Linked DNA regions of Arabidopsis thaliana. The protein of the gene in region 3 interacts with the protein of the main gene of each other region in a pairwise test. Each region holds a gene or a part of one and is shown on either strand. Other genes may lie near its edges.

Evidence for each region.
Region 1: the proteins of HMG (region 3) and AT2G25650 interact in binary tests that used the Arabidopsis thaliana proteins (3 or more experiments, as listed by UniProt).
Region 2: the proteins of HMG (region 3) and AT4G00270 interact in binary tests that used the Arabidopsis thaliana proteins (3 or more experiments, as listed by UniProt).

What each region holds. Positions count from the first base shown.
Region 1 is NC_003071.7:10,909,563-10,919,891, forward strand, and holds AT2G25650 (DNA-binding storekeeper protein-related transcriptional regulator), read left to right. Parts: upstream 1-4,948; 5' UTR 4,949-5,202; coding exon 5,203-5,439; intron 5,440-5,520; coding exon 5,521-6,444; 3' UTR 6,445-6,654; downstream 6,655-10,329. Other genes in the region: BGLU14 (beta glucosidase 14), read left to right, coding at 1-318; AT2G25640 (SPOC domain / Transcription elongation factor S-II protein), read left to right, coding at 1,274-3,129, 3,363-3,483, 3,859-3,918, 4,146-4,346; emb2410 (embryo defective 2410), read right to left, coding at 6,894-7,040, 7,147-7,419, 7,511-7,702, 7,816-8,054, 8,164-8,420, 8,681-8,961, 9,076-9,882, 10,093-10,224. UniProt on the Arabidopsis thaliana protein: Probable transcription factor. May play redundant roles with GEBP and GPL2 in cytokinin responses by regulating the transcript levels of type-A ARR response genes. Involved in stress responses.
Region 2 is NC_003075.7:113,307-123,139, reverse strand, and holds AT4G00270 (DNA-binding storekeeper protein-related transcriptional regulator), read left to right. Parts: upstream 1-4,496; 5' UTR 4,497-4,671; coding exon 4,672-4,905; intron 4,906-4,988; coding exon 4,989-5,663; 3' UTR 5,664-6,055; downstream 6,056-9,833. Other genes in the region: AT4G00290 (Mechanosensitive ion channel protein), read left to right, coding at 1-43; AT4G00280 (ER protein carbohydrate-binding protein), read left to right, coding at 289-327, 428-489, 617-731; MEE45 (Transcriptional factor B3 family protein), read right to left, coding at 6,089-6,388, 6,433-6,837, 6,913-7,034, 7,128-7,437, 7,517-7,626, 7,733-8,018, 8,116-8,169; AT4G00250 (DNA-binding storekeeper protein-related transcriptional regulator), read left to right, coding at 9,230-9,833. UniProt on the Arabidopsis thaliana protein: DNA-binding protein, which specifically recognizes the GL1 enhancer sequence. May be involved in leaf initiation. May play redundant roles with GPL1 and GPL2 in cytokinin responses by regulating the transcript levels of type-A ARR response genes.
Region 3 is NC_003074.8:10,780,905-10,789,229, forward strand, and holds HMG (high mobility group), read left to right. Parts: upstream 1-3,983; 5' UTR 3,984-4,049; coding exon 4,050-4,103; intron 4,104-4,389; coding exon 4,390-4,575; intron 4,576-4,651; coding exon 4,652-4,757; intron 4,758-4,847; coding exon 4,848-4,984; intron 4,985-5,062; coding exon 5,063-5,146; intron 5,147-5,227; coding exon 5,228-5,322; intron 5,323-5,409; coding exon 5,410-5,518; intron 5,519-5,653; coding exon 5,654-5,740; intron 5,741-5,838; coding exon 5,839-5,931; intron 5,932-6,010; coding exon 6,011-6,208; intron 6,209-6,295; coding exon 6,296-6,441; intron 6,442-6,531; coding exon 6,532-6,679; intron 6,680-6,759; coding exon 6,760-6,867; intron 6,868-6,948; coding exon 6,949-7,131; intron 7,132-7,289; coding exon 7,290-7,368; intron 7,369-7,466; coding exon 7,467-7,594; 3' UTR 7,595-7,825; downstream 7,826-8,325. Other genes in the region: AT3G28720 (uncharacterized protein), read left to right, coding at 1,225-3,435; CYP81D11 (Cytochrome P450 superfamily protein), read right to left, coding at 7,860-8,325. UniProt on the Arabidopsis thaliana protein: Component of the FACT complex, a general chromatin factor that acts to reorganize nucleosomes. The FACT complex is involved in multiple processes that require DNA as a template such as mRNA elongation, DNA replication and DNA repair.

The DNA.
Region 1 (10,329 bases), on a different chromosome or scaffold from region 3:
TACAAGTTCAAAGACCCTGTCATGTACATAACAGAAAATGGGAGAGATGAAGCTAGCACTGGTAAAATCTTACTTAAAGATGGCGATAGAATCGATTACTACGCTCGACATCTCAAGATGGTTCAAGACGCTATCTTGATTGGAGCAAACGTTAAGGGCTTTTTTGCATGGTCGTTGCTAGATAACTTTGAATGGGCATCGGGGTACACGGTCAGGTTTGGACTTGTTTACGTGGATTTCAACGATAGACGTAAGAGATATCTTAAGAAATCGGCTCACTGGTTCAGACATTTATTGAATGGAAAAAAGGAGAATTGATGAGATATGCAACATTCCAATATATTAACTAACTAGATTAATACATGCACAATGGTTTGTTTGGAAAACAACTATTGTTAATATACAAATAAGGTTTGATTTTACTGTATTATATCAAACTTAAATCTCAAAAATAGTGGTTTCAATGTAAAACTTGTGCACACTAAATTAAATGGAATAGTATGCATTTAAATAAAAAAATCAAGAATTTTCATTCTTATTTCGGCCTTCTAAAATTAATTAATTAGTTAAATTAGTTTGTGATTTTATTTTGTTGTGGTTGTCACTAGTGGTAAATTATTAATAATTTAAAAATCTAATATTTTCAATAAAAATTAATGATCTATTTTTAATATTAAATAAAAATAGTTAAAATTATAGAAATTTAGTTCATATTGATATCTCTCTAATTCATTTGGAAAAATATTTTTAGCACAGACAACAGTTTATGCCTGCATCATTACAACAATTTTTTTTACTATTTTCTCATAATTTTTTAATACTATTTGAGTTATAATTGAAAAGCTAATTACGGTTAAGGAGCAGCTATAGATAACGAATTAATAGATTAGAGAGGTTAATTATAGAGTCGTCACATCTCTCTCACATGCCTCTCTAAGTTCCCTTTAGGGTTTTCTTCTTCACTATAGAGACTCATGCTCTTCTCTTCCCAATCGCCGCCTCTGATCTCTCTTCCTCGCTTCTCAGATTAGGTATTAGACATTCACTCTTTCTTACATTGTTATAACATTGATGAAGTAGAAGCTTAGATTCATATCATTGCCATTGGTCACGATTAATCATCTCTTTCACTAAATCATCAATTGTTTCAATGAGAACCAATAACAGCTGAATCAATGTCGATACATTTGTTGTTACGAAATCTTTTGAATCTTCACTGAATCCGCTTTGTCATTTTTCTTTTGCAGCCTTTGTTTTGTTAGATTGATTTGTTATGTCCAACAATCTATTGCCTCAGCCTTGTATGCAAATGGGTCAATTCATTAATGTCCCTACTCCCACTCCTGAGCTGATTTCTAATCCGGAAATGAGATTGTCACAACCAATCTGTAGTCATATCTCTGGTGGGAGACAAGATTTTCATGTAATGTTGCCTAGTGTTGTTGGTTTAGGATCAGTTAATATGGATAAGACTCTGTTACCTGGTAAGCGGAAATCTCCGTTGCATCCTTCTGTGCAAAATAAACGGATGGCATTACCTATGGAAGGTCGACCGTGGGCGTCTGCTCCAATGCCTGTGCAGTTATCTTCTGTTTCCCCTAGAACACAGTATTTGCCTGCTTCGTTTGTTAGTAAGAATAGTTTTGTTTCTTTTAGTAAACCTGGGAAGCAAGCTGCGGCGAGAAAACCGACTTTACAGAAACCGATGTTGCTGAAACCTCAAAGTGAGTCGTCTGGTTCTGTGAGGTCTAAAATGAGAGAATCTTTAGCTGGTGCATTGGCAATGGTACAGTGTCAAATGGATGTTCCTAACGAGTCGAAAATGTTAGATAGTGAGACTGTAGCTAATCCTCTAGAAGGTCATGTTAGTGGGCCAGTGTCAGCTGCTTCTGGAGTTGATGTGATGGTATCTAATGGAAGTACTGAGATGCTGACCCTCAGTGATCCTAGTCCTGTTGCGGGTATCTCTGTTCAGACAGTGTTACCGGAGATTTTGTCTATCGCCAAGACAAGTGATGCCCAAGTACCTGAGGCTGTAAAACCGTTTGTGCAAGACAATGTTTCATATAGTGACAATGTGTTTTCAAAAGATGATCTTTTGCAAGGGAATGACCTCTCTTGGGCTCTCGAGTCGGACATTGAGTTTACTGTCAATTGTCAAAATGAAATGATTGGTGCAATGGCTAATGATGGGAGCCTGGAAAAATTGTTACTGGATCCACAAGTTTTGGCATTTGAAATAGAGACAGAACTCTTTAAGTTATTTGGTGGTGTAAATAAGAAATATAAAGAGAAAGGAAGGTCTCTCTTGTTCAATTTGAAAGACAAGAGTAATCCTAAACTCAGGGAAAAAGTTATGTATGGAGAAATTGCAGCAGAGCGATTGTGTTCCATGTCAGCAGAGGAACTTGCTTCAAAGGAACTAGCTGAGTGGCGACAAGCAAAAGCAGAAGAGATGGCTCAGATGGTTGTTCTGCAGGACACTGAGGTGGATATCAGAAGCCTAGTAAGGAAAACACACAAAGGAGAGTTCCAAGTGGAAGTTGAACCAATGGATAGTGGTTCTGTAGAGGTCTCTGTTGGAATGAGTTCGATTAACTGGTCTCGAACAAAGAATTTTAAGAAGAAAACCCCTTCCATCACGAAAACTCTTGGAGTCAAGAATGAATTGAACAGCTCTAATGAGAGCACTGGGCCAATAAACGGAGTCACAATAGATGATGAGATGCAGGCTGCCACTGGATCTCTTCCTCCAATTGTCTCTCTTGATGAATTCATGTCATCCATAGATTCTGAATCTCCGTCTGGCTTTTTGTCTTCAGATACTGAGAAAAAACCTTCTGTTTCAGATAATAATGATGTAGAGGAGGTTTTAGTTTCATCACCCAAAGAAAGTGCTAATATTGATCTTTGTACATCACCAGTTAAGGCTGAGGCATTGTCACCACTTACGGCTAAGGCATCATCACCTGTTAACGCTGAGGATGCTGACATAGTATCGTCAAAGCCTAGTTCTGATTTGAAATCCAAAACTACATCTGTTTTCATACCTGATGGTGAACGTTTATGGGAAGGTGTGCTCCAGCTGAGTCCTTCTACTGTGAGCTCTGTCATCGGCATTCTAAGAAGGTTTGTAATAAATTGTTTCATGAGTGGTAGCAAACCTATCTCAGTATTTTTTTTTTATTCCACATTTCCAAATTTAGGTTTGCATATATGAATAGCTTTCTTTATTTAGTCTACATGTTACTACTTATCTATACTATTCTAGTGCTTATCAGCTCTATAAAATGTTTTTTTAATGAATATGGCTTCGCTGTTATTGATACCATGTTTACCAACCTGATTTTTACGCTTCACAGTGGCGAAAAGACTACTACAAAAGAGTGGCCTATTTTGCTCGAGATTAAGGGTAGAGTCAGATTAGATGCATTTGAGAAGTTTGTTCGAGAGCTCCCAAATTCCAGGAGTCGTGCTGTAATGGTATTTGTCTACACGTTTACCTCTATCATTAATGTACATGTTTTATATACGCATTCTGTGTTTGAGCCCCTGCAAAAGCTATTAACTGTGACGTTTAACCAAGCTTAAGTAGAAGCATTTAGGAAAGAAGAGGAGAGATTAACGGCCAATACTGATTTGTGAATGATTGAGAAAAATACATTACATCTGTGAATCACAATGGAGATAGATGGACTTACAAAAATATTTTCACCAGAACAATTGCATAGCTTATGTTTCTTGAATAGGCCTCCATATTCCAATAAAACTAAGACCTGTTTGTTCTCGATTCTATATGTATGTGATGAACTCGTTTATCCATCATGGTACTTCTGAAACCTTGCTTTCGTGTTACAGGTTATGTGTTTCGTCTGCAAAGAAGAGTGCTCAAAGACAGAACAAGAGAACATTTCCGAGGTATGAGCGTTGGTAGTTAACCAAGATTCTGTGTATCCAAATAAACGAAAAGATGATTAAAAAAACTTGAGATTTATTTGAATATTAATGATTTATTTGATCAAAACTGAACGCGAATCTGTACAAACTGAAAACCCAAACCGAATTTAAATTGAAACACTCCTAAATATCTGTAGAATGTCTAACTTGGTAACGAAATTTGGGCATTTGGTTTTGTTACTATACAGGTGGTGGATTCATACGCTAAAGATGGGAGGGTGGGTTATGCAGAACCAGCTTCAGGAGTTGAGCTATACCTATGCCCAACCCGTGGGAGAACTGTCGAGATTCTAAACAAGATTGTTCCGAGAAACCAACTCGATTTCTTGAAATCTATAAATGATGATGGTCTTATAGGTGTTGTTGTATGGAGAAGACACACAATTTAAAAAATCACCACTATCTAACAACTCTCACAAGAACCACCGTGAAAAGGGTTCTTCGTTAACCACATATAATACTTCTCGTTACAGTAACATGCTACAGGTCAACAATGACGATGGTGATGATGTGCCACCGGGGTTTGGCCCAATGACCATGGCTCGGGATGAAGATGATGACTTGCCTGAATTTAACTATTTTTCCAGTGGGGATGTTGTCGTGAACCGGACAAGCCGGTCTGTATCTGTAAGAGAGCTTATTCAAAAATATGGAAAATCTGAACCTTTGAGGAACCAAAGTTATAATGATAATGACAATGATATACTACCAGAGTGGCAGCCTCAATCTAACTGGACTCTTGGGGTTACTCATGTAAATGGTGGCTCGATGGTTAGACCATGTAGTGAGTGGTGGTCTCATCAGGATGGCAGAGGAGGATATTAATTGTTTTTTGTTTCACCTTAGCAATTTTGTGTTTGTTATGCATTTTCTGTTGCAGGCAACACTGCTTTCCAAATTTTGTGATTTTCTCTCAACAGTCACCGATATTTGGCACTTTATTAGTAAGATGGGCTTGCGCAGCCCGCTAATATATTGCTCCTTTCTGTAACAAAAAGTACAAAAGTAACAAAATCCACTCCTATCGATTATACTATAAAACAGAAGTGCAGAGAAAATTTCAGTCATGATATTTTTTGACCAGCTCGATTCAGAAATTTGGAAAGACTAGCTTTTTTTTCTCTCGGGTTTCACTTTTTAAAGGTCGTGAAAATTTGGGAATCACTGATCAATTTTGTTAATATGATTTCCTGATTTAGGGTTTCTCTGCATGCCTCTAGAATCAGCAAGTGTAAAGCAATTACCATGGTGACTCCGAAGCAGATCGATTTCTCTTCCTGTGGTGGTGGTGATAACTCCGACGATACCCTCTCCCATCGAGAATCTCCACGGAATCCTTCCTCAAAGCGTGCTGCTGCTTCCTTCGCAGCAGAAGCAGGCGAAGAGACTATGAAGAAGAAAAAGAAGAAGAAGAAGAAGAATTTGGGTCCGCCGTTGATCGTCCGGATCTGGAACGAGGAAGATGAGCTCTCTATCTTAAAGGTATTCTATTCATCTTCTCCGTTACACTTTGATTTGGTTTTGCATTCTGATTTTCTCAAAACCAGATTCGAAATTTCTCAGGGATTAGTTGATTACAGAGCTAAGACAGGATTCAATCCCAAAATTGATTGGGATGCGTTTTACAGTTTCCTCGGAAGTTCTATCGTTGCGAAATTCTCCAAGGAGCAGGTTTTGAGTAAGATCAGGAAGTTGAAAAGGAGATTTCATGTTCATTGGGAGAAAATCAGTGAAGGGAATGATCCGAAATTTACTAGGTCTAGTGATTCTGAAGCCTTTGGATTTTCTTCGATGATTTGGGGACAAGGTGAATTTGGTAATGATGATGGTATGGATAAGGAGATGGTGAAGGAGCACGATGTAAACGGAAATGGCGCAGCTGAAAATGGGACTGCTCGAATAGCACAGGAGAACGAGAGTGGGGAGGAGATGTTAAAGGAGCATGAGGAAACGTTAAATGAGAATGGTGCAGAGGAGATAAGAGACAACGACGAGACTGCTCGGAAAGCACAGCAGCTCGAGAGCGAGAGCGAGGAGGAGATGTTGAAGGAGCATGAGGAACCCTTTAATGAGAATGGTGCAGAGAATATAAGAGACAATAACGGGACTACTCAAATAGCACAGCAGAGCGAGAGCGAGAGTGAGGAGATGTTGAAGGAGCATGAGGAAGTGGCTAATACTGAACTTGTAAATGAGAATGGGGCAGCGAAAACAACAGAGAACGGGACTACTGGTGGAAAAGAGAGACATGATGACGATGATGATGATGAGTTATGCGCTGTGCAGGATGCATTTGAGGCTGTAATGTCGCAAGGTTTAAGTGGTTATCAAAAGAAGTTGCAGCTTGAGAAGCTGATGAACCTTGGAACTGGAAAAAGAAGAGAGTTGAGTGATGAATGGAAAGCGTTATGTGTTGAGGAAAGAAGATTGAATATCAAGAAGCTTAGATTTTCCGCCAAGCTTGCAGAGGCAGCTAATGATAGTTAGATGAAACCAATAAGCCGTTGTAGCATTTGGTGTTAATTAGGTTCTTAGTAAGCCATAAGCTTTAGTCTGTTCAGTGTATATCTTTGGATGTTGTCTTTGTTCTGTTTGGGCAAGTGTTTGTAAGACATTCCAGTTTTAACTGAAGTATCCAGAAGAGCCATCCATGTCCATTGTTGGATATAATAAATTTCATTACTTTCTTGTTGCACCAATCAGTCAATGAAGTGGCAAAACATTTTATATGCATTCCCTAACAAAAGGCATTTACAATGTAATTTTTACATTTTTAACCACTAAAAGGCCAGAAGAAGTGCACAAAGAAAGACTGACCAAATAATAAAATAATTTTTCTTGTCGGTAGTCACCAAAACCATGCTATTCCAAAATGCACTTCCTTTGCAACAAACGGCTTATATCCATATGAATCCGACAGAGGAAGACAAAAGGATTTAGTCTTGTGATGTAGCAGAGTATTCAAAAAGCAAACGTTTGGAAGGTGCAGATTGCAGAAGGACACGCAAGCGGCTCGTGAGCTGGTAAATAAGTGTCCATTGCATTGCCATCTCAGAATCTTTCATCTGTCTTACCACAGAGGCCTGTAGATAAAAGACAGCAAGAACCGTGGAGTGCTTATTTTGGTTAGGTTTTGAAAAAAATGAGGCCATATGGAGAAGAAAGAAGATTTCAATGTTTATGCCTGACCTGAAGACGTTTTCCGAGCTGCACTTCAACTTCCGTTCCAAATGATATGTTGCTCGCCAGAGACTTGAGAGGATCCACAGTTGGATCAACAGAGAGTAAACTTGGGATCTGCGGAGCATACACCAACCTCCATCTCGCCTGACCAAACTCTCCTTTTCCTTCTATCCTTGGCATTATGGTTCCAAGTGTTGCGGTTGCAAGTTTTTTGAAAGCAAGTTGTCCATCTCCTTCTAATATGGATTCTGCTAATTGGCTCTCAAACACCTTTGCAGCCTGCGAAAGGGAGATTATTAAACAGAGATTTCCATCAAGAAGAAAACACAACAATTTCCAAAATACAGCTACATTTTAACTTCAAATTTACCTCCGAAGGTGAGAGAGCATCCTGTTCAACAGAACGTGTTGAAGTCACGACAAGTTTGTCCTGCCAATTACTGGCACGACTTTGAACCCTAAATTGCCATTCTGAACCAACTAAGGCTAAATCTAGCAGAGGATCTAGTCCATGTTCAGGCTCAAACTTTGCAACGTTGAGATGCTCCCTCTTCAGACGTACCTGTGTTTAGAAAACAAAATAGATGTTGGTTACTCGAGGACATGTTGGCTTTGCAAGAATTATGGAATGAATGAGTTCACCACATAAAATCAAAACAGAGATTTAGGCAAAACCTGAGTAGCCACAAGATTGACATCTCCGTTTTCGAATGTTAGGACACCCTTTGGTTTGATAAATTTTGGATGAGCCATGCCATCAAGTTCAAGCTCACCACTAACAGCAAAATTAAGAATTAAAGGGTACATTATCCTCAGCTCTGGTCCTAAAACAAGTTTCATATCACTCAGACGGATATCCATATTTGGTTTCATTTTCACTTCTTCAATCTCCTTTTCAACAGAATTTGATTTACCTGTTGCAGGCAAAACAAACCGAGATCATTACAAAAGTGTTTACATACAAAGTCCAAATACTAAAATAGAAAAAAACGTAGAAATTTTGCTAGTAAACATGTAGGTTACCAGTCGACTGAGAGAATTTCATCCCTGAAGAAGCCCGTTCAGTGCCAAAAAATCGAGCAAAATATCGTGAAGAAACTGCTTGATTAATAGCAGCACCTGGAATACTATACTGATTGGCTGCCAATCTATTTAAAGGGGCAGCTCCACCACCCTTATCATGAGGCAGATAAGCTTCTCCTTGGCTTAATTTAATATTTCCTGATATAGTTGGCTGCAACATTGATCCAGTAATTTGCAGCTGAGTATCAACCTGACAACTGATATGGCAACACGATCTCTCACGGAATCAGAAAAAGTAATAAGCTCAGTAACATGAGTCTAGAAGAGCAAAATGGAAGAAACCTAGACGATACAGTATCTCAGCATGCAGTCTAGATATATAAAATTAACAAAACTGATCCACGATAAAGTATGTACCCATCAAGATATATCAATAGTTAAAGTAAGAAAGATAAATCAAAATTATGTACTAAAAGCTTAAAATGATTGACAGCAGCGTTGATATTGCAGAGTATACCTTAAAAAATTCTTTGCTCGTACTTCTAGAACTTCACATTTGAGCTCTATTCCATCACCAGCAGATGCTTCATTTGATCTAAGGGGAAGATTTCCTTTAACAACCAGCTTTCCCTTTCTACTTACCCTGCTTTCCAGTGAGGTGATGCACAACCTGTTTGATTTAACATGTAAGGTTCCACCAAAGTTTGTGAGCGGTTTACGAAGCACAGGTGAAGAGATAGACGCCCTGTGGAATGAAGCAGACCCATCAAGCACTGGATGGTCTACTGTACCTCCGACCTGCTCAGCAGATAGGTTATGCGTAAATGAATTTAGTCAGAATTTGAGGACATGGCAGATCAATTTAACTATCTTACAATGTAAAGACAACACAACAAGAGGACAATGGCCAACCTGAAGCCTGATATCAGCATTTCCTTGGAGCCAATTAGCATAAGGAGATATGGCTGTTAACAAAGTCATTCCCCCATCCTTGATGTCTGCCTCCAGTCTAACTTCTCCTGCATCTAAAATATTCCAGTATAAACCCTTGAGACTCTCAGCTAGTTGGCTGTCCCATCTCTCTTCGCTCCTATCCCTTGAGGTTCTCTTCTCATCATCTTCCTTCTCTTTTGCCCAACTCGGGATTTTCACTGCACCACCTCTATCTGTTTCGCTGACTTCTCCTTCAGACATATTTTTCTGCGAAAAGCTAACAGGAACACTTCCTTGTATATGGACATGACCATTTTGGACAAATGGTTCAAAGTTGGAGTTGAAAAGAAAACGACTGTTAGATGTAAGAGAAGCAAAAACTTCAGCTCGTCCAAGGTCTATACCACCAACAGCACCATCCAATAACCTAACTTGTACATCACATTCTGGTTTTTCAAGACTCCCTCTAAGATCCCCTTCCATGTGCAAAATGCCTTTGATTGGTGACAAGAGTTTCCTCAAAGAGTGAACAATATCAGTAGCTGATGATTCAACAACCTCAACCAAGGTAGGTATCAAACTAACAGGGAAATTCAGAACAGCAAAATGAAGATTTGTTTTTGGCCCCAATAAGGTCCCATCTGCGTGCAGTGTAGCGTTTCCTTTTTGAATGAGCATCTCCTTAAGACGTAAACCATCATCATTGTTATACGAACCAGTAGCCAGAACACGCTGTGTTTTGTAAGTCCCCCACTCCCAATCATCTCCATGGAAGTCAAATTCGGCCTGGTATTAGATGTAAGAGGAAAACATTTAAACAAGACATCACTAGAAATTCTCACTTAAATATCTCACTCATAAAAAGTTTTTTCTAAAGACAATTGCACCCGTCTCCTTGGACACGAAAGCTTATGAAAACCAATTTGGAGTGTCCTTTAGATGATGACAACCTTAACCCTTTATTTTAAAAACGAGATGACAGGGTTATTTTTATACCAAAGTGTCTCCATTGCCTCCACCACTAGCATCAAGCGAACCATGCCAATGACCCTTGAGCTCAGCTAAACCTGGAAGACTTAGATCTTCAAGAACGACTTCACTTGGTGGAGTATAATACCCACGTATCTCCTGATTTTAAGGAACCATATAATTTAGCATAGGAAAGAACTAAAGGCGAGCTTAATGGTGTCTACACAGGTTTTTTTGTTCTTATTATAGAATCTGCTTTCTGTA
Region 2 (9,833 bases), on a different chromosome or scaffold from region 3:
CGGTGTGTCGTTAGGTACCACCTGGGACAATTCTACATTGTGAGTGATCATTTTGTAGAGACAAGGAATACTGATCCGGAAGCTACTTAGCTAGATGGATCCAGAAATCTGTGTTTTTGGGAAATTACAGAAAATCGTGATGACTTGTTAGGTTTCAAGAGAAAAATGTTTCATATTGGCCTTGCTTTTATTTCTTTCCTTCTAGTTTCTGTTTAACAGGTAGGTATTTATAGGGTTCTAACAATTCCTATGTACAGGAAAAGATCAATTCAATATGTTAAGCAGAAAATGGCTCGTTTGATGTGGTTTGCAGTGCATGATCAATTAGTTCAGCTCAACTTTTGCTGTTTAGTTTATTCCCTTTTTATTAATACAAAACTTGAAACTCTTTATTGGACGTGATGTGAGTGAGTGGGTAAGTCATAAGGAAGATTTGGAAGAAGGCCGGGAAGTATCTTCACTCGTACCATCTCTGCAACCGATGAAAACGTATCAATGAAATGGATCATTTCTTGTTGAGTACATACAAATTTTTCTTTCCAACACCATTGAAACTGGTTTGGAAAAGGCATTGTTTCAAACTAAGTTCTCTTGAGAAACAGTTTCAAAACTTTAGGAGCTTCCCTCAAGGCAACAGAAACTGTTACAATGTGCAGCCTCCGCAGGGAAAAGGCTTCGAGTATTTGATCATAACCCGTTTTGTTAATGAGGTTGAACCTATCACCATATAAGCTATTTAGAACTCTTGTCATTGCTGAATATGTTTGCGAATCCATTCTATTGTGTGTTTCTTCGTTTTGTAATAACTCTGGTTATGAGTTTTGAGTAGAGAGACATTCAAAAAGGAAGCACATTTACAAAGTCCTAAAAGTTCATTACAGTCATCGACCAAAAGGCTTGTTAAACAACTTAGCTAATTCATTACAACCATCGACCAAAGACAACTTAGCTAATTCTCACACGAGAATCCAAAGTCCTAAAAGTTCATTAACGTAGACAGAGAGACGAATCCTAAGTTAGATAACAAAAGAAGGCATTACATCTCCATTTAAACCCGAGATTAAAAACCGATAAACCTATAATACAATCCAATAGCTTCCTCTTCTTCTTCTTAGTTGGTTTGAGCAAGCACCGAAGTCACCTCCTTCAAAACATCCATCTTCTCCAACAACAACTCACATTTCTTAGCGTCCACAAGCTTCATCTACATTAGCATGCATGACTTAATATAAAGGTGAGAAGAAAGGCGAAGCTTCTTAAATTGATGGGACTTTACACCAAAATGAGAGGTGTAGAGTGGAACACATTTCGCTTTCTATTTTGAATTCGAGAATATCATACACCTGATGAGGTATATGTATTATCATTCAAGCTTAAAGATTTTTATAATATATTAAGATAAGCCATATTCATCGATGGTGTTTTTTTCAATGTGTTTTGTCAATTGGAGCTGAAGGATGGAGATTAAATTGATGCAATGTTGTATCAACAAAATGGTTATGGTCCTCTTCTATAAGTATTTAGAGTTTGAATGTTTCAGGTGTGAATGTCAAGTAGAAGACTACATGCACGAGTCAACCGTTCTTTAACATAAATCTTAATTATAAATATTAAAAGAAAAAATAAATACATGAATGGTGTCTTGGTATTAGGAGCACTACAGAGACAACTCAACTGATTTTAAATAACAAAAATCTTAAATATAAATCTTAAAACAAAAAAAAAATACAAAAATGATATTTTGATAACATGAGCATTATATGCACATATATCAACTGATTTTAAATAACCAAAATTTTAAATATAGATATTAAATAAAAAATAAAAATAAATGAATGATGTTTTGGTAATAGGAGGATTACATGCATGAGTCAACTGTTGTTTAATTAACATAAATCTTAACTATAGATATTAAATGAAAAATGAAAATACATAAATGATGTTTTGGTAATAGGAGGACTACATGCACGAGTCAACTGTTGTTTAAATAACATAAATCTTAAATATAGATATTAAATGAAAATACATGAATGTTGTTTTGGTAATAAGAGGACTACATGCACGAGTCAACTATTGTTTAAATAACATAAATCTTAATTATAAATATTAAAATAAAAAATAAATACATGAATGGTGTCTTGGTATCAGGAGCACTACATAGGCAAGTCAACTGATTTTAAATAACAAAAATTTTAAATATAAATCTTAAAACAAAAAAATACAAAAATGATATTTTGGTAAATGGACCACTATATGCACATATATCAACTGATTTTAAATAACAAAAATTTTAAATATAGATATTAAATAAAAAATAAAAATACATGAATGATGTTTTGGTAATAAGAGGACTACATGCATGAGTCAACTATTGTTTAACTAACATAAATCTTAATTATATATTAAATGAAAATACATGAATGTTGTTTTGGTAATAAGAGGACTACATGCACGAGTCAACTATTGTTTTAAAAACATAAATCTTAATTATAAATATTAAAATAAAAAATAAAATACATGAATGGTGACTTGGTATCAAGAGCACTACATAGGCAAGTCAACTGATTTTAAATAACAAAAATCTTTAATCTCTTAAAACAAAAAAAAATACAAAAATTATATTTTGGTAACAGGAGCACTATATGCACATATATCAACTAATTTTAAAATAACAAAATTTTTAAATATAGATATTAAATAAAAAATGAAAATACATGAATAATATTTTGGTAATAGGAGTACTTCATGCACAAGTCAACTGTTGTTTAAATAACATAAATCTTAGTTATAAATATTAAATAAAAAATAAAATACATAAATGGTGTCTTGGTAACAGGAACACTACATAAACATGTCAACTGATTTTAAATAACAAAATCTTAAAATAAATATTAAAATAAAAATGATAATACATGAATAGTGTCTTGGTAATAGGAGGAATACATAGAAAGATACACTGATTTTAAATAATAAAATATGAAATAAAAATACATAAATGATGTATTGGTAACATAAGCACTACATGCACATGTCAACTGATTTTAAATAACAAAAATGTTATGTTAAAACAAAAATAAAAATACATGAATGATGTCTTGGTAAGAGAAGGACTGCATGCATAGATCAACTGTTTTTAAATAACAGAAATCTTAACTCTAAATATTAAAACAAAAAGGAAAATACAGAAATAATGTCTTGATAATAGGAGCACTATATGCAAAGGTAAACATGTATTTTTTCTGCTTCCCTCCCATTCAAAGCCTTAATCAATGAAGTTTTGGCTAAAAGAATGATCTTTGACCGATGGAGTATTGTGTCGCTTGATGTGATCTTTTTACATTAGAATTGTGGTCATTTGTCTCAGGGAAAAGAGGAGCTATACAATATAACAAGAGGTCCTTCTTGAGGTGGTGAAGATCATAAAGAAGCACGGTTACGTTCCTTTTGTAATATTCCTTGGATCTCGAAATCGAGTACAAGTTCCTATCATGCTAATGGCGGAGATGGATGAAGGCATTTTACATTGTAATCTGTTCATTTAATTTGGATTGCTTTCATTGTTTCATTTGTTTGACATACATAGACACTAATAGTTGAGGATTATGTATTTACAACAATAAAGTGTTCCACTACACAAGGTACAATCGATATATATATAGTGTTAACTCTCATTTGTGTATATATGCATATCAGTTTGTAGGTGTTACTATGATAGTAGTACATTTATTAATTTATAAAAATTTATACGTAAAATACAATATTAATTTTTTAAAAAGAAAAATTTTAATTTAGTTTTTCTTTATGTTTTATTGTTTGTATATTCTGTTAGATTTTTTTTTATTACTTTTTTTATTTTTTCTCTGTAAGATATTGTGCATGTATACGACGTTAACGTGAGACTTAATCCAATTTTTTATTACACAAATCTTAACAATGATTTTTCATATAAAAAAAGTTACAAAACCAAATATGACGGATCAAATACGCAAAGAGTTATGTGAATACAAAAGAGATCACACCAACTATACTCTAGAAAGAGTTGCAATTATGACTTGAACAAAAGTTTCATATAAAATTAGTCTTTGAATGTATGCTAAAGATTTATGATTATTAATTTTATGATATTACTGGTACCATATTTTTACATAGGGATTTCAAAAAAAATATTATCTTATTATCTTATCGATTTTGGTTAATTTTTACATTACCCCGATTTGAGACCGACAAAATTTATTAATTTATCGTGTAATATGTTTTGTTCAAATACCTTTTAATATCTATTTAATAATAAAAAAATATTCAATCAGAAATGGATAATATATAATATAATTATTTACTTAAAATATATCAGCAATGAATCTTAAAATGTAGAAAAAACTAAATTTTAATTTATTATATAAAAAAGGTAGATAAAATATTTTATACTATTAAGTGACTAAAATGATAGATTTTTGCAAGAGCAAAATTGTACTATTGATGAATATTAAACAGTAGAAAAAAAGATGAAAGTGTTTGTTTTGTTATGAATGTTGAGAAAAGTATGGCCAAGTGTTACTCATCCTATTTTGCTTTTCTTTTTCTCTCGGGTTTCACTTTTTAAAGGTCGTGAAGATTGGGAATCACTGCTCTGCATGCGCCCTAGAATCAGCAAGTCTAAAGCAAGCAATAAGCATGGTGACTCCGAAGCAGATCGATTTCTCTTCCTGTGTTGGTGCTGATAACTCCAACGGTACCCTCTCCCATCGAAGATCTCCACGGAATATTCCTTCCTCAAAGCGTGCTGCTTCCGTCGCAGAAGAAGAGACTATGAAGAAGAAGATGAAGATGAAGAAGAAGAAGAAGAAATTGGATCCGCCGTTGATCGTCCGGATCTGGAACGAGGAAGATGAGCTCTCTATCTTAAAGGTATTGTATTGATCTTCTCCATTTATAGTTTGATTTGGTTTTGCATTGTGATTTTCTAAAACCAGATTTTCGAAATTGCTCAGGGGTTAGTTGATTACAGAGCTAAGACAGGATTCAATCCCAAAATTGATTGGGATGCGTTTTGTAGTTTCCTCGGAAGTTCTATCGTTGAGAGATTCTCCAAGGATCAGGTTTTGAGTAAAATCAGGAAGTTGAAAAGGAGGTTTCATGTTCACTCGGAGAAAATCAATCAAGGGAATGATCCCAAATTTACTAGGTCTAGTGATTCTGAAGCCTTTGGGTTTTCTTCGATGATTTGGGGACAAGGTGATGATGATGGTATGGATAAGGAGCACGAGGTAAACGGAAATGGTGCAGCGGAAAACCGGACTAACGAGAGCGGGGAGGAGATGTTGAAGGAGCACGAGGAGGAAGTGGCTAATACTGAACTTTTAAATGAGAATGGGGCAGCCAAAACAACAGAGAATGGGACTAGTAGTGGAAAAGAGAGACATGATGAGGACAATGATGATGATGATGAGTTATGCGCGGTGCAGGATGCATTTGAGGCGGTGATGTCGCAAGGTTTAAGTGGTTATCAAAAGAAGTTGCAGCTTGAGAAGCTGATGAACCTTGGAAATGGTAAAAGAAGAGAGTTGAGTGATGAATGGAAAGCGTTATGTGTTGAGGAAACAAGATTCAATATCAAGAAGCTTAGATTTTCCGCCAAGCTTGCAGAGGCAGCTAATGATAGTTAGATGAAACCAATATGCCCTTGTAGCATTTGGTGTTGTTTAGGTTCTTAGTAAGTCATAAGCTCTAGTCTGTTCAGTGTATTTATCTTTGGATCCTGTCTTTCTTCTACTTGGGCAAGTGTTTGTAAGATATTCCACTTTTTACTCAAGTATCCACAAGAGCCAATGTAGTAGAGTGGCTTGTGCAAGAGTCTAGAGTCTAGGGTTAATAATGTGCTTTAAGGCATGCTTGTGTGTGTGCCTAAGAGTGTAGTGAAGTAGTATAAGTAAGAGTGTGTGTGTGTCTTGTAATATTATCCAAGATATTAACAATGTAGAAGATTAAAAGAAAAATGGTTTTTGTTCTTACTCTCTAAGACAATGAAACCTTAAGAGTTATATCTTACCAAATAAAAGAGTCAAACATTGATTCATTTCAATATAGAGTTTCATTTGATTTCTAGCTTCACCTTGGAGCAGAACTTAAGGACGCAACTTGTTTCTTCTTCCCAAATCAGTTCCAACATGATGGATTCGTTTGCCTTCACATCGTTAGCTTGGATGAATCCTTGCCATCCTCCTACCATTCGTAGTCTTTTTCTTTTGTCGTCCTCGAACCGCAGAGTCGTTAACCACTTCACACCATGTTTATCCAACAGAGTCATTTTAGTTTCTTCATTGATACCATTCATCCTCGTGAAAGGAACCGGAAGACGCTGAAACATAGATTCACACAAAAGATTCTCATTCTATAGACTGTTAAAAGACAATGGCTTGGAATGATGAAACGTACCAGTAGAGAACTTTGGATTGTATAAGGTGTTAGAGTTAATGTCACAAATCGGTTTTCGGATAGTAAAGACTTTCTTCTTGAGATTTTCTCGTCGTGGATACTCTCTTCATCGCTTTCTTGCTCTGTCGAAAGAGAGACTACTTCATTAGCTTCTTCTGGCTCGTTGGGGATCAAACGTAGAACAAGAGTTGCTCTTTTCTTTATCAGTTTGAGAGTTATGATACTTCCAGCTCTTAGTCCATTGGCACTACAGAAACTTCTCCATCCTCGTTTGATGAGAGAAGTTCCGGATGATTTCTTTACTTTCAAATCTAAAGTCCATGATTTTCCCTTTTCATTAATCAGAATCATCTCTCCACATCTTTTGTCTACACCATTTTCCCTCATAAAACGCTTTGGAAGATACTGGAACAATACAACATAAGTTTCAGACACTAGAATGAGAGTTTCTTTTGGGATTCAAAAGTAAGAGTAGAATACCAGTGTGTCATAGCGTAGACTCGAAGGGGAGACATTAGCCACAAAACAAGAGGGATCTTGTGAAGAAGACTCTGCCTCTCTTGTTACATTCTTCTTCACTTTCTCCTTCCTTTGAATCTTTTCTGAAAAAAAGAAAGAAATAAAATCCATATGAGCACGTTTCTTGAATGTCAAGTATCATGGGCAGAGTTAGAGAAAGAAAGAACAGAACTCACCAAGGTTGCGCTCTGCATCGCTTTCCGGTTCTTCGGGAAGAGACACTTCATTAGCTTCCTCTTTTGGCTCATTGGGTAACAAACGTAGAACAAGAGTTCCTGCTCTTTTGATCAGTTTGAAAGTGTAGTTATCTCCAGCTTTAAGCCCATTGGCATCACAAAAACTCACCCACCCTCCTCTAACATAAACTGTTCCGTTTGATGGCTTTTGTCTCAAGTTAAAATTCCATGATCTGCCCTTTTCATTCATCAGAACAATCTCTCCAGATCCGACTACACCATTATCCCTCACAAAACCCCTTGGAAATCTCTGAAAAATTCATTAGAATACAACATGAGTTCAGACCCTAGAATGAGAGTTTCTTTTCGGGTTCTTAAGAGTCAAATACCATCAAGTCATAACGTAGACTCGAAGGCGCAACATTAGCCACAAAACAAGAGGGATCTCGTGAAGAAGACTCTGCTTCTCCATTTGGATTCTCCTTCACTTTCTTTTTCTCTGAAAAATAAGTGTTATATAGTCAAACTGGTTATCTCTACTCACTGATCCACATTCCAAAAGCAAACCACGTTTCTTGAAGAGCCAGAGACAGAACACAACTCACCGTCACCGAGGTTGTTCTTTTCGACTGAACACGAACCATATTGAATCCCACAACAACTAGGTCCCAACAGTGTTACATGGAAAGCCAAGTCACTCTCTTGTCTGAAAACAACAATGTCACCGATTCGAAGATCATGTGAGACAGCAAACTCTTTCCAACCGTCGGTGAGTCTCTGGCCATCTATCTTCACTTCCCAAGTTCTCTTTGACGCGTCTGATCTCAGCTTCGCCGTCTTCTGCTCATATCTTCCTTCTATATACTTCAAGAAGAAGGCTACAGGAATTGTCTGAAGCAACATGCAAATACAAAACCAGACTCATCTTTAGCTTCTCAGAGAGACATAGACAGAGATAGAAGAAGGGAAAGAGCGAGAAAGAGAGTACCAAGGAGGCGTGGAAGCCAGGAAGAAGAGGCTTGAAGAAATGTTGATGCGCCATTTTCAAAATCTTGAGAAGTCCTAAATGGCTAAATCTGAAAGTCGACGGTACAGTTTCTTGAAGGAACGAGTGTAATAAACTCCAACTTGAAGATGACAGTTTATTGGTGTTGTTGAAACTATGAGAGACCATTGATATACTCAAGAAGAGACCATTGAAGAGACTTTTATTGTGGTTAAACACTCTGGTTCGGTTCAGGACTTTCAGAATTCATATGTATTGGATTGAAATTTCTTGAACCGAAGTAGACCGAAAGTAAAGTTCGGCTCGGTTCAATTTTAATAGCATAAATTTCGATTTGGTTCAAGATAAAATATTGGTGTCAAATTGGAACCAAAAACCAATTTCAGGTCGGTTTACTGTAAGAGAGAGTTCATATTTTTCAATAATTTTAATTAAACTTAAGATAAAAATTGGTAACTTCAATTAAATTAGAATAATCGTTTGGTTTCAGTTCGGTAACTATAAACCGAACCGAGTACTGAAGTATTACTACAGTAATTTTTATTGAGTTTACTCAATAAACCTAATCGACTAATCCTAACCGAATTCATATTCCTAAATTCTAATTTACATTTTTTTTGTCTATAGATGACACTAAATTTCACTACTTACAATCTTTTCCACTTTGTTAATTTCAATAAAGGTTTCCCACTTGATCAAATGATCTTTCTAAATGTAAAAATATAAAGCGACTTTGTAAAATTACTTTTAGTACATATATTTTTGTTTTACAACAAAGAAACCTTTCATTTTGTATACCAAGAATTACAACAAGAAAATCTAGTATGAATTTTGTTATACAAATTTCTTATACATTTGGGCAAAAAATTGTTTTTTTTTCCCATGTTACAGTGTTACATATAAGGATGATGGTTTATTTATTTTGTTGGGCTTAATTAGTTTTTGTTGTTGAGCTTTATTTACTTTAATTGTTTCTTAAATATAAGAGATGTTACAGTGTAAAAAAATAAAAAGTCTCGCAACTCACAAACCCTAAAATTGTCCCTTCAGTTCCCACTTGGTACTCATACCCGAGAATCTGAAAGAAGAAAATCCAATGGCTCCTTTGGAAAGTCCAGCAACCGCTTCTTCAAGCGAAGTTGAGAGTTCTTCTGAAGAGATCTTTAAGTCTTCTTCTGAAGAAAGCAAACCCAAAGATCCTGTCACAGTTCCTTCCTCTAAAACCCTAAAATCTCCTTCCGCCGCTGTGAATTCTAAGACAGATTCTTCTGATGACTCAGAGAAGCAGTCATTCGTCTTAACCAGGCGGAAGAAGAAAGAAGGTGCTGCTGAATCACCGGCGGTGAAGTCAGGGAAGAAGCGAGCTGGTGAAGGAAGCACCTCAAGGGACATGCATGTCAAAAGAGTTAAGAAAGAGGACGATAACAAAAAGGCGAATCCTCAGAGAGTATGGAGTGAAGAAGATGAGATCTCTCTTCTACAGGCAGTGATTGATTTCAAAGCTGAGACAGGTACAAGTCCTTGGGATCATAAGAATGCGTTTTTTGATATCGCCAAGAAATCTATAAGCTTTGATGTTAGTCATGTCCAGTTCTTTGACAAGATTAGAAGATTAAAGAATAAGTATTTTGTTAACCGGAAGAACAAAAGTGGTGAATCGAATCATGATAAGAAATGTTTGGGTTTGGCTGTTTTGATTT
Region 3 (8,325 bases):
CCATTAATTTTATTTTATTTAGAAATATAAATTTTAAATTTTAAATTGAGTTTAATAATCTTTTATTTTTTCTTTAGTAAAAACTTAATAATAAATAAAACTCTTTGACATACATTGTTTTTAGAAACGGATTTTAAATTTTAAATTTTATATTCTTTTATAACATTTTCTAAATAGATATATATAAAAAAAATTACTACATCATGCATTTAATCTTACTTTCATTGGAAAAATCATTTTTGCAATGTTATAAAAATTGTGATGTCAAACAAAAAGCCCGACTTAATCGGGACGAAAAACCCAACTTCATTGGAACGACTAAAAACGACAACAGAACAACCATGTTAATGGCAAAAACATGACAACAAAAAAACTATGTTGACGGCAAGAATATAACAACGGAAAAGACATGTTAACCGCAAATAAAGATAAGAGCCCCTCTCTCTCAAAAATATTAGAGAAAGAGAGCTTTCCTACTATTTCTTAGAGTCCGAATCGTTACAACGGTTCGAGCAGACAAAACCGTGTATGGACTGGACCCGCTTTTTATTTACCATTCATAAACTATAGTTCCTAATAGTATAGATAAAAAAAACAGAAAAAGACGTTGTGGACCAATTGCACACCGTTTTTTATATTGAAATCAGTGTTCAAGAAAACGTCAGACGCTATTCGGGAGGTGATCCAATGTCTACCGCCTAAAACACCTAATCGGAGTCTAGACAATTTTAGGCGGTTAAGATGTTTATAACATAAAACATTATAAATATGTTATTATAGATAAACATCATTCAAAATATGGATTAAAAAAATATAAATATTAAATTTATAAACAAAAATGTGATAAAACGTACATATAATTCATACTAAACAATATTTGAACATTTAAAACCATGTATATGAAGACAAAACTTAAAAAAAGTAAATTTGAATAATTAAATATTGGAAACATATATTGGAAGCATAATTAATCTTAAGCGGTCGAAACGGTCATCTAGGCGTCGCATGAGAGCCTAGCCCCTAGTCGAGGCCTAAACAACCACCAAAATCGCTTTTTAGAATACTGATTGAGATAAATTAAATCTGTATTGATTTATTGTCTACCCCTAAAATAAAGTAGACTGAATCGCGGATTGATTAGTATTAACCGCAACATCCATTCAAAACCTCGGTCGATAATTCATAACTTCAACCGCGTTCACGTTATCATTACCCAAATTTTAAATGATAGTTTTTTGTTGGAGTGAAACCCCTAAATTTAACCCCAATGTGAAAAATCCACTTAAATCTAACCCCAATTTGACATTTTTAGCCCTCGAAAGCCCAAACAAATCTTCGTCTTCGTCTTCCTCCTCTAACCTCCACTCTCACATGACGCACCACCGCATCACCACCTACTTCAATGGCGGATCCGCCTCCATCTTCCTCCTCCTCCTACTCATCACCACCACTTCCTCTTCTTCTCCACCAATCCCAGGCCTAGACACCTTCCTAACAAACCAATATCGTCTCGACCCAAAATCATCAAACGACTCATTCACATCACTCTCCTCCTCTCTCAAACGATCTCTCTCTTCTTCATCAATCCACTTCTCATCACTCTCCAAATCTCTCCTCTCTCTCTCAATCTCAATCCCACTCAACGTCCGTTTCATCGGAGACTCTTTCCCTTCCTCCGCCGCCTCCACTCTCTCCGAATTCATCTCCGCCGCCGTAACTAACGACAACTTCCATGTAATCTCTCCATCTCCAGATTCATCAACAAATCACAAACTCGTTATCTCTCACTCTCTCCACCTTGACGCTTCTCTATCTCCCCAATCTCTCTCCACCAGACTCGATTCAACTTTGAAAACCCTAATTTCATCAACAACTTCATCTCTCAGATCTAATCTCCTTTCGATCCAGTACAATCCAATCGATGAGATTATAAAGCAAGAGTATGAGAAAGAGAAGCATGGAGATGGTGGTGTTTACATTTACTTGATCTCTTTAGGCTCACAAGCTAAACCTTATGCTTATAGTTACTCTCATGGTGATTCATCAGCTGGGTTTACGAAATGTTTAGGTAGTATTTGGACTGGTAAAGATCGTTATCTATGGATTGATCTCTCTGCTGGTCCTGTAGATTATGGTCCTGCTTTATCTGGTGATGGTGTTTTACCAAGAGGTGAGTTTCATCCTTTAGCTGCTTTACATGGTCGTCCTAAATCAGAAAAAGCTTTACTTGCGGATTTGGCTTCGTTGGTGTATAATGCTTATCAGGTTTTGATTGTTCCTTCTTTGAGAATCCCTGTGTACTTTGAGGATACGTTGGTGGTTCAGTTTATTCATGTGTATGGGTCAGAGGTTAAGGATTCGAGTGGGTTAGATTTGGAGTTTGTGAAGAGAACGTTTATGGATGAAGCTGAGAGTGGTGGGTTGTTGTTAGGTGAACAGAAGTTGAGTTTTAAGAGTTATAGTGTGAATTATAGAGAATGTTCGATTTGTTCGTTTGCGGTATCTCGTGGGATGAATTCGTATACTTCTAGGTTTTTGTTTGATAACTATACTTTGATTGTGAGTGAGTATTTGGATTCTAAGCATATGCATCGGGCGTTGACTGATTCGGCTGAGGAGTTGAGGAGAGTTGCGGGGATTGTTGAAGAAGAAGGAAATGAGTTTGCTAGGGTTTTACCTGTTTATGTGTTTGATTTGGATATCAATACGCCTTTGTTGCTTGATCGGTATCATCAGTCTGTTGCTTTTAGAGATATGGTGATTGCTGTTAGAACTAGAGGAACTCAAACGGTTAGTGATTATACTTGCAACGGGCGTCATGTGTTTGTTCATACGAGAGACTTAGAACGACCTCTCGTTGGTTCCATTCTGCAGAGTATGTGGGGTGTATCTTCTACTCATTTGACATGGAGCCCGAGACATAACACAACTCTAGTTGATTATACATGGAGCATTGGGCAAACACCGTTTGGACCATTCTCTGATATCTCGTCTCTATCGTTTGTTCAGAAAGATGCTGCTAAGAGAAACGTGATTTTGACATCTTTGAACACAACTATCACAAGTGCAATCGATGTTATCGATTCCGCGGTTGCATATGGAGGAGATGTGATCCTACGGAAACAGAATCGCCACTCTGAGTTCATGCAAAGGTGGAATCTTATGCAGTACAAGCTGGATAAAACGGTTTCTGCTCTATCACACAATGAGTTCGAGATGGCTTTGTTCTACTTAAGATCAGCTTCACACGACTTGTACTCAGTGCATTCAGTAGTGTACCTCGCGTCACAACGGGTAGAAGCGAGTCTCAACTGTTTCAAAGATCCACCGTTCCCATGGGGAACTGTTTCAGTGTCGGGATTCGGGTTAATGGCTGTTGGTTACGTGTTCTCGAAAAGAGATAGACTCTTTAGGAACAAACGAAAACAGTTCTGAAGAATTCTAGCAATGCAGGGTAATTTATAGTCATTACATTGGATAAAAAGACTTTGATAGTTTGGTTTTTGAGGTTAATACAACATGTACTACTATTATGAGCTTGTTTCCATTTGGTAATGTTGAACAATAGAGACAATGCTCGGATCCTCTGTTTGGTTGTCTATTTATTTTGAATAGCTCCATCACATTCCTATTGTCTCCTTCAATAATCACTTCTCCATACCCTTAGACCGGTTTTCCCCTCCTAACCAAAGCCAAACAAAACCGAAGTAACCGGTTTGGTAAACCGAACCCGCATGCCTACATAATTGATATAAAATTCTGTTTTATAAGAGGTTTCTTTTCCAAATGTGAAAAAATCCAAAACTCAAAACAACCTTCTGTTTTTACCGTTTTTTGATAAAGGTCTTTTTCCCAAATCTGCAAAACCAAAAACTCAAAAATTCAATTAAACCGGAAAATCTAATTTTCGAAAATTGGTTTTCTTCCCAAAATTAAACCGCCTGAGTGTCTATGTATAAAAGTTGATATCATAGTTTGGAAAAAAAAAAATCACTCTCTCTCTTTCGCTCTCGCTTTCTCGTCTCTCTCGTGTCTCTCAACAGAAAACCATGGCGGACGGCCACTCCTTCAATAATATCTCTCTCAGCGGTCGCGGTGGAAAGGTACCATCTTCTCTCTCTGTCTCCTTCTATCTCTCAAGATCTTTCAATTCCTTCAAAGTTTTCACCTTTTCCTCTTCCTTCGAAAACCCTAATCTCCTTTCTCTGTATCCCCTTTTGCTTCCGCCGCTCGATTCTTAAAGAACTCAATGAGTCAAATTTAGGGTTAAAAAAAAGATTGTCGCTTTCATTTTTCAGTTGTGTTGTTTTCTTGTTTACAATTGTTAAAGCTGCGGTAGTTTTTAGGGTTTTCTTAAGGCTAATTAGGGTTTCAATTTTGGTTTTTTAGAACCCGGGTTTACTTAAAATCAATTCTGGAGGAATTCAATGGAAGAAACAAGGTGGTGGAAAAGCTGTGGAAGTTGATAGATCTGATATTGTAAGTGTTAGTTGGACGAAAGTGACAAAGAGTAATCAATTGGGAGTCAAAACCAAAGATGGATTGTACTACAAGTTCGTTGGATTTCGAGATCAGGTTTGTGTGTGTATATCTTTTTTATTTGATTTGATATTGTAATGTTTGTGCTTGTTCTGATTCCTTTGTTTTGTAGGATGTTCCAAGTCTGTCTAGCTTTTTCCAAAGTTCTTATGGAAAAACACCGGATGAGAAGCAATTATCAGTTAGTGGTCGTAATTGGGGAGAGGTGGATTTACACGGTGAGAGTTCTTATAGCTTTTAGGCTTTACTTGTGGTTGTCTAGTTTCATTTGTGGATCTAAAGGGAGAATTTTTTGTTTCTTTGTGTAGGGAATACACTAACCTTTTTGGTTGGATCAAAACAAGCTTTTGAAGTATCTTTAGCTGATGTTTCACAGACTCAGCTTCAAGGGAAAAATGATGTTACTTTGGAGTTTCATGTTGATGATACTGCTGGTGCTAATGAGGTACTGGTTTCTTTTGATATGTAATCTCTAGGCTGTTATGTATGTACATTTACTGATTTATATTCTACGTGTTTACAGAAAGACTCGCTGATGGAGATTAGTTTTCATATTCCTAATTCCAACACTCAGTTTGTTGGTGATGAAAACCGTCCACCTTCTCAAGTGAGTTCCCAAACTATTTTCATTATATGTATGTGCCTCAAGTATATATTTTTTTCTGTTGATGCTAAAAGAATGTCTCAGGTTTTCAATGACACAATCGTTGCAATGGCTGATGTTAGTCCTGGAGTTGAGGATGCGGTCGTCACATTTGAGAGTATTGCAATCCTCACACCCAGGTAAAGAGTTGATTACTTAAACATTTGTTGCACTATTGTATGGCTTCATCTTGTCATGACTAAATGATTTGGTTGTTTCTATCACAGGGGTCGGTACAATGTGGAACTTCACCTTTCTTTCTTACGATTGCAAGGACAAGCTAATGACTTTAAAATCCAGTACAGTAGCGTTGTCCGTTTGTTCTTGCTTCCAAAGGTAATTCTTTTTTAAGCATATCTCAGGGCAGTTACCTATGTTAGCAGTCATCAGATTAAAGGGATTATCGTATTATGATCACTGAATCGTGTTCACATTAATTGAGTTCGTATTTTTTTTTATATGCCTGAGCAGTCAAACCAACCACACACGTTTGTTGTTATCTCTCTAGACCCACCAATCCGGAAAGGTCAGACAATGTACCCCCACATTGTTATGCAGGTAAACATTACTTACATTTTTCCTTCCATTTCAATTTTCTATGTATAATTTTCGTTTTTTTACTCTGATTTACATAACTGTTTTTGCATCTTCTCCAGTTTGAAACAGACACCGTTGTCGAAAGTGAACTGTCAATTAGTGATGAACTTATGAATACAAAGTTCAAGGACAAGCTGGAGCGATCATATAAGGTTTCTGTCTGGTCTGCACTTACATTATTGTTCCTGAATAAAAAAATTTATACATACGCTGAATTGTATGAATTTTCAGGGTCTCATTCATGAAGTATTCACCACCGTGTTGCGTTGGCTGTCTGGTGCAAAGATCACTAAACCTGGGAAGTTCCGCAGTTCCCAAGATGGGTTTGCAGTGAAATCGTCTCTCAAGGCAGAAGATGGGGTTCTTTATCCACTCGAGAAGGGATTTTTCTTCTTACCTAAACCTCCAACGCTTATACTTCACGATGAGGTAAATTATGGTTATTAAGGATTGGAGATTTTTTATAGGCTTTGAGATAGAGTTGGGTTTTCTAACCTGTTTTTTTTTCGTTTTTAGATTGACTATGTCGAGTTTGAAAGGCATGCTGCTGGTGGTGCTAACATGCATTACTTTGATCTTCTCATAAGACTGAAAACTGACCATGAACATCTGTTCCGTAACATTCAAAGAAATGAGTATCACAATCTCTATACCTTCATAAGGTTAGCGCGGATTATTTCATTGTCTCCGTCTATATTTACTGAGTGCATTTAAGATTTGTGGTGAATATTCCTTATGTTTTCTTGCTGCAGCTCTAAGGGTTTGAAGATTATGAACCTTGGAGGTGCGGGTACCGCAGACGGTGTTGCTGCTGTTCTTGGGGATAATGATGATGATGATGCTGTTGACCCTCATCTTACGCGTATCAGAAACCAAGCTGCTGATGAGAGTGATGAGGAGGCAAGTACTTTATGTCTGACCGAATTACTTCATATTCTAATGATCATGTGTTTGATAATCGAGACTTTTAATTTATGAAGGACGAAGACTTTGTTATGGGTGAGGATGATGATGGTGGTTCACCAACTGATGATTCTGGCGGGGACGACTCTGATGCTAGTGAAGGCGGTGTAGGAGAGATAAAAGAGGTAAACTTTTGTCGCATTCATTCGAACTCTTTCAGCAGCAGTATTTGTTTCTCATATCTTCCTGTCATTGACTTGTTATAGAAATCTATCAAGAAGGAACCTAAGAAAGAGGCTTCGTCATCGAAAGGATTGCCTCCTAAGAGGAAAACTGTAGCCGCAGACGAAGGCAGTAGTAAGAGGAAGAAGCCGAAGAAGAAGAAGGATCCCAACGCACCAAAAAGAGCAATGTCTGGTTTCATGTTCTTTTCCCAAATGGAAAGAGATGTGAGTTCTTCTCTCCTTTCTTTTACTTTTACCTCTATGATGTAGGCTAAGTTGCGAAATGGAGTATCCTCGGTCTATTACATACATGAGAGCAAACAATTAACAGACAAACTTAGCACATTCCTGATTATGTCATTTTCCATTTGTGAACTGAACAGAACATAAAGAAGGAACACCCAGGAATAGCATTTGGAGAGGTGGGAAAGGTGCTTGGAGATAAGTGGCGTCAAATGTCTGGTAAAAAATTTGAAGATCCTTTTCAAAAGTAAATACATTACTTGGTTTTACTTTATCATGTGAATGTGTTTTAATTCCCCAACCGTGTGTATGTATAGCTGATGATAAAGAGCCATATGAAGCCAAGGCTCAAGTCGACAAGCAGCGATACAAGGATGAGATCAGTGATTACAAGAACCCTCAGCCGATGAATGTGGACTCAGGAAACGATTCCGATAGTAACTAAACTTTGATTCTCCAACATTCTCTACTAGTATCTCATTTACCTACAATACTAAGTTATGGCATGTAGTAAACGTTGGACCTTTAGTTGTTTGGAGTTAACCAGATTTTTCTCTTTGACCTTAAAGATCTTGTGTTACTTCCTAGAAAAGAAGAGCCTGTCTTTACCTCAAAATATAGAGTACTCTGGTAAGGCCATAGCTAAGAAGCAACAAAACAGATCGTGTTTCTATCGAAATTGTTATACAAGAGGTTCTGTATGATGAAAGTTATGGACAAGAAGCATCTAAAACCTTATGGACAATGGGACGAGCTTTACACATAGCTTGCAACGATGTAGCTTTTCGCATTGTGGTTCCTTTTTCACTTTCTCTCATGTCTAGATACTTTTCTTCAACCCTCTCCCACTCAAAACATTGGACCAATGATCCAAGAGCCAAAGTCACTAGCCGTTGAGCTAGCCCTGAACCAGGGCAAGATCGTCGTCCAATCCCAAATGGCATCAACTTTTTATCCTCTCCTTTTTTCTCAAACCTCTCCGGCTTAAATTTTTCTGGCTCTTCCCATAACTTTGGATCTCTATGGATGGCCCATGCATTCACCAAGATGATTGTGCCGCGTGGAACGTCATAGCCATCAACTATACAATCTTCTGATGCTAAGTGGGGTAAAAGCATTGGAGCCACCGGATAAAGCCGTAAAGTCTCTGACACAATGTGCTGAAGGTAAGGAAGT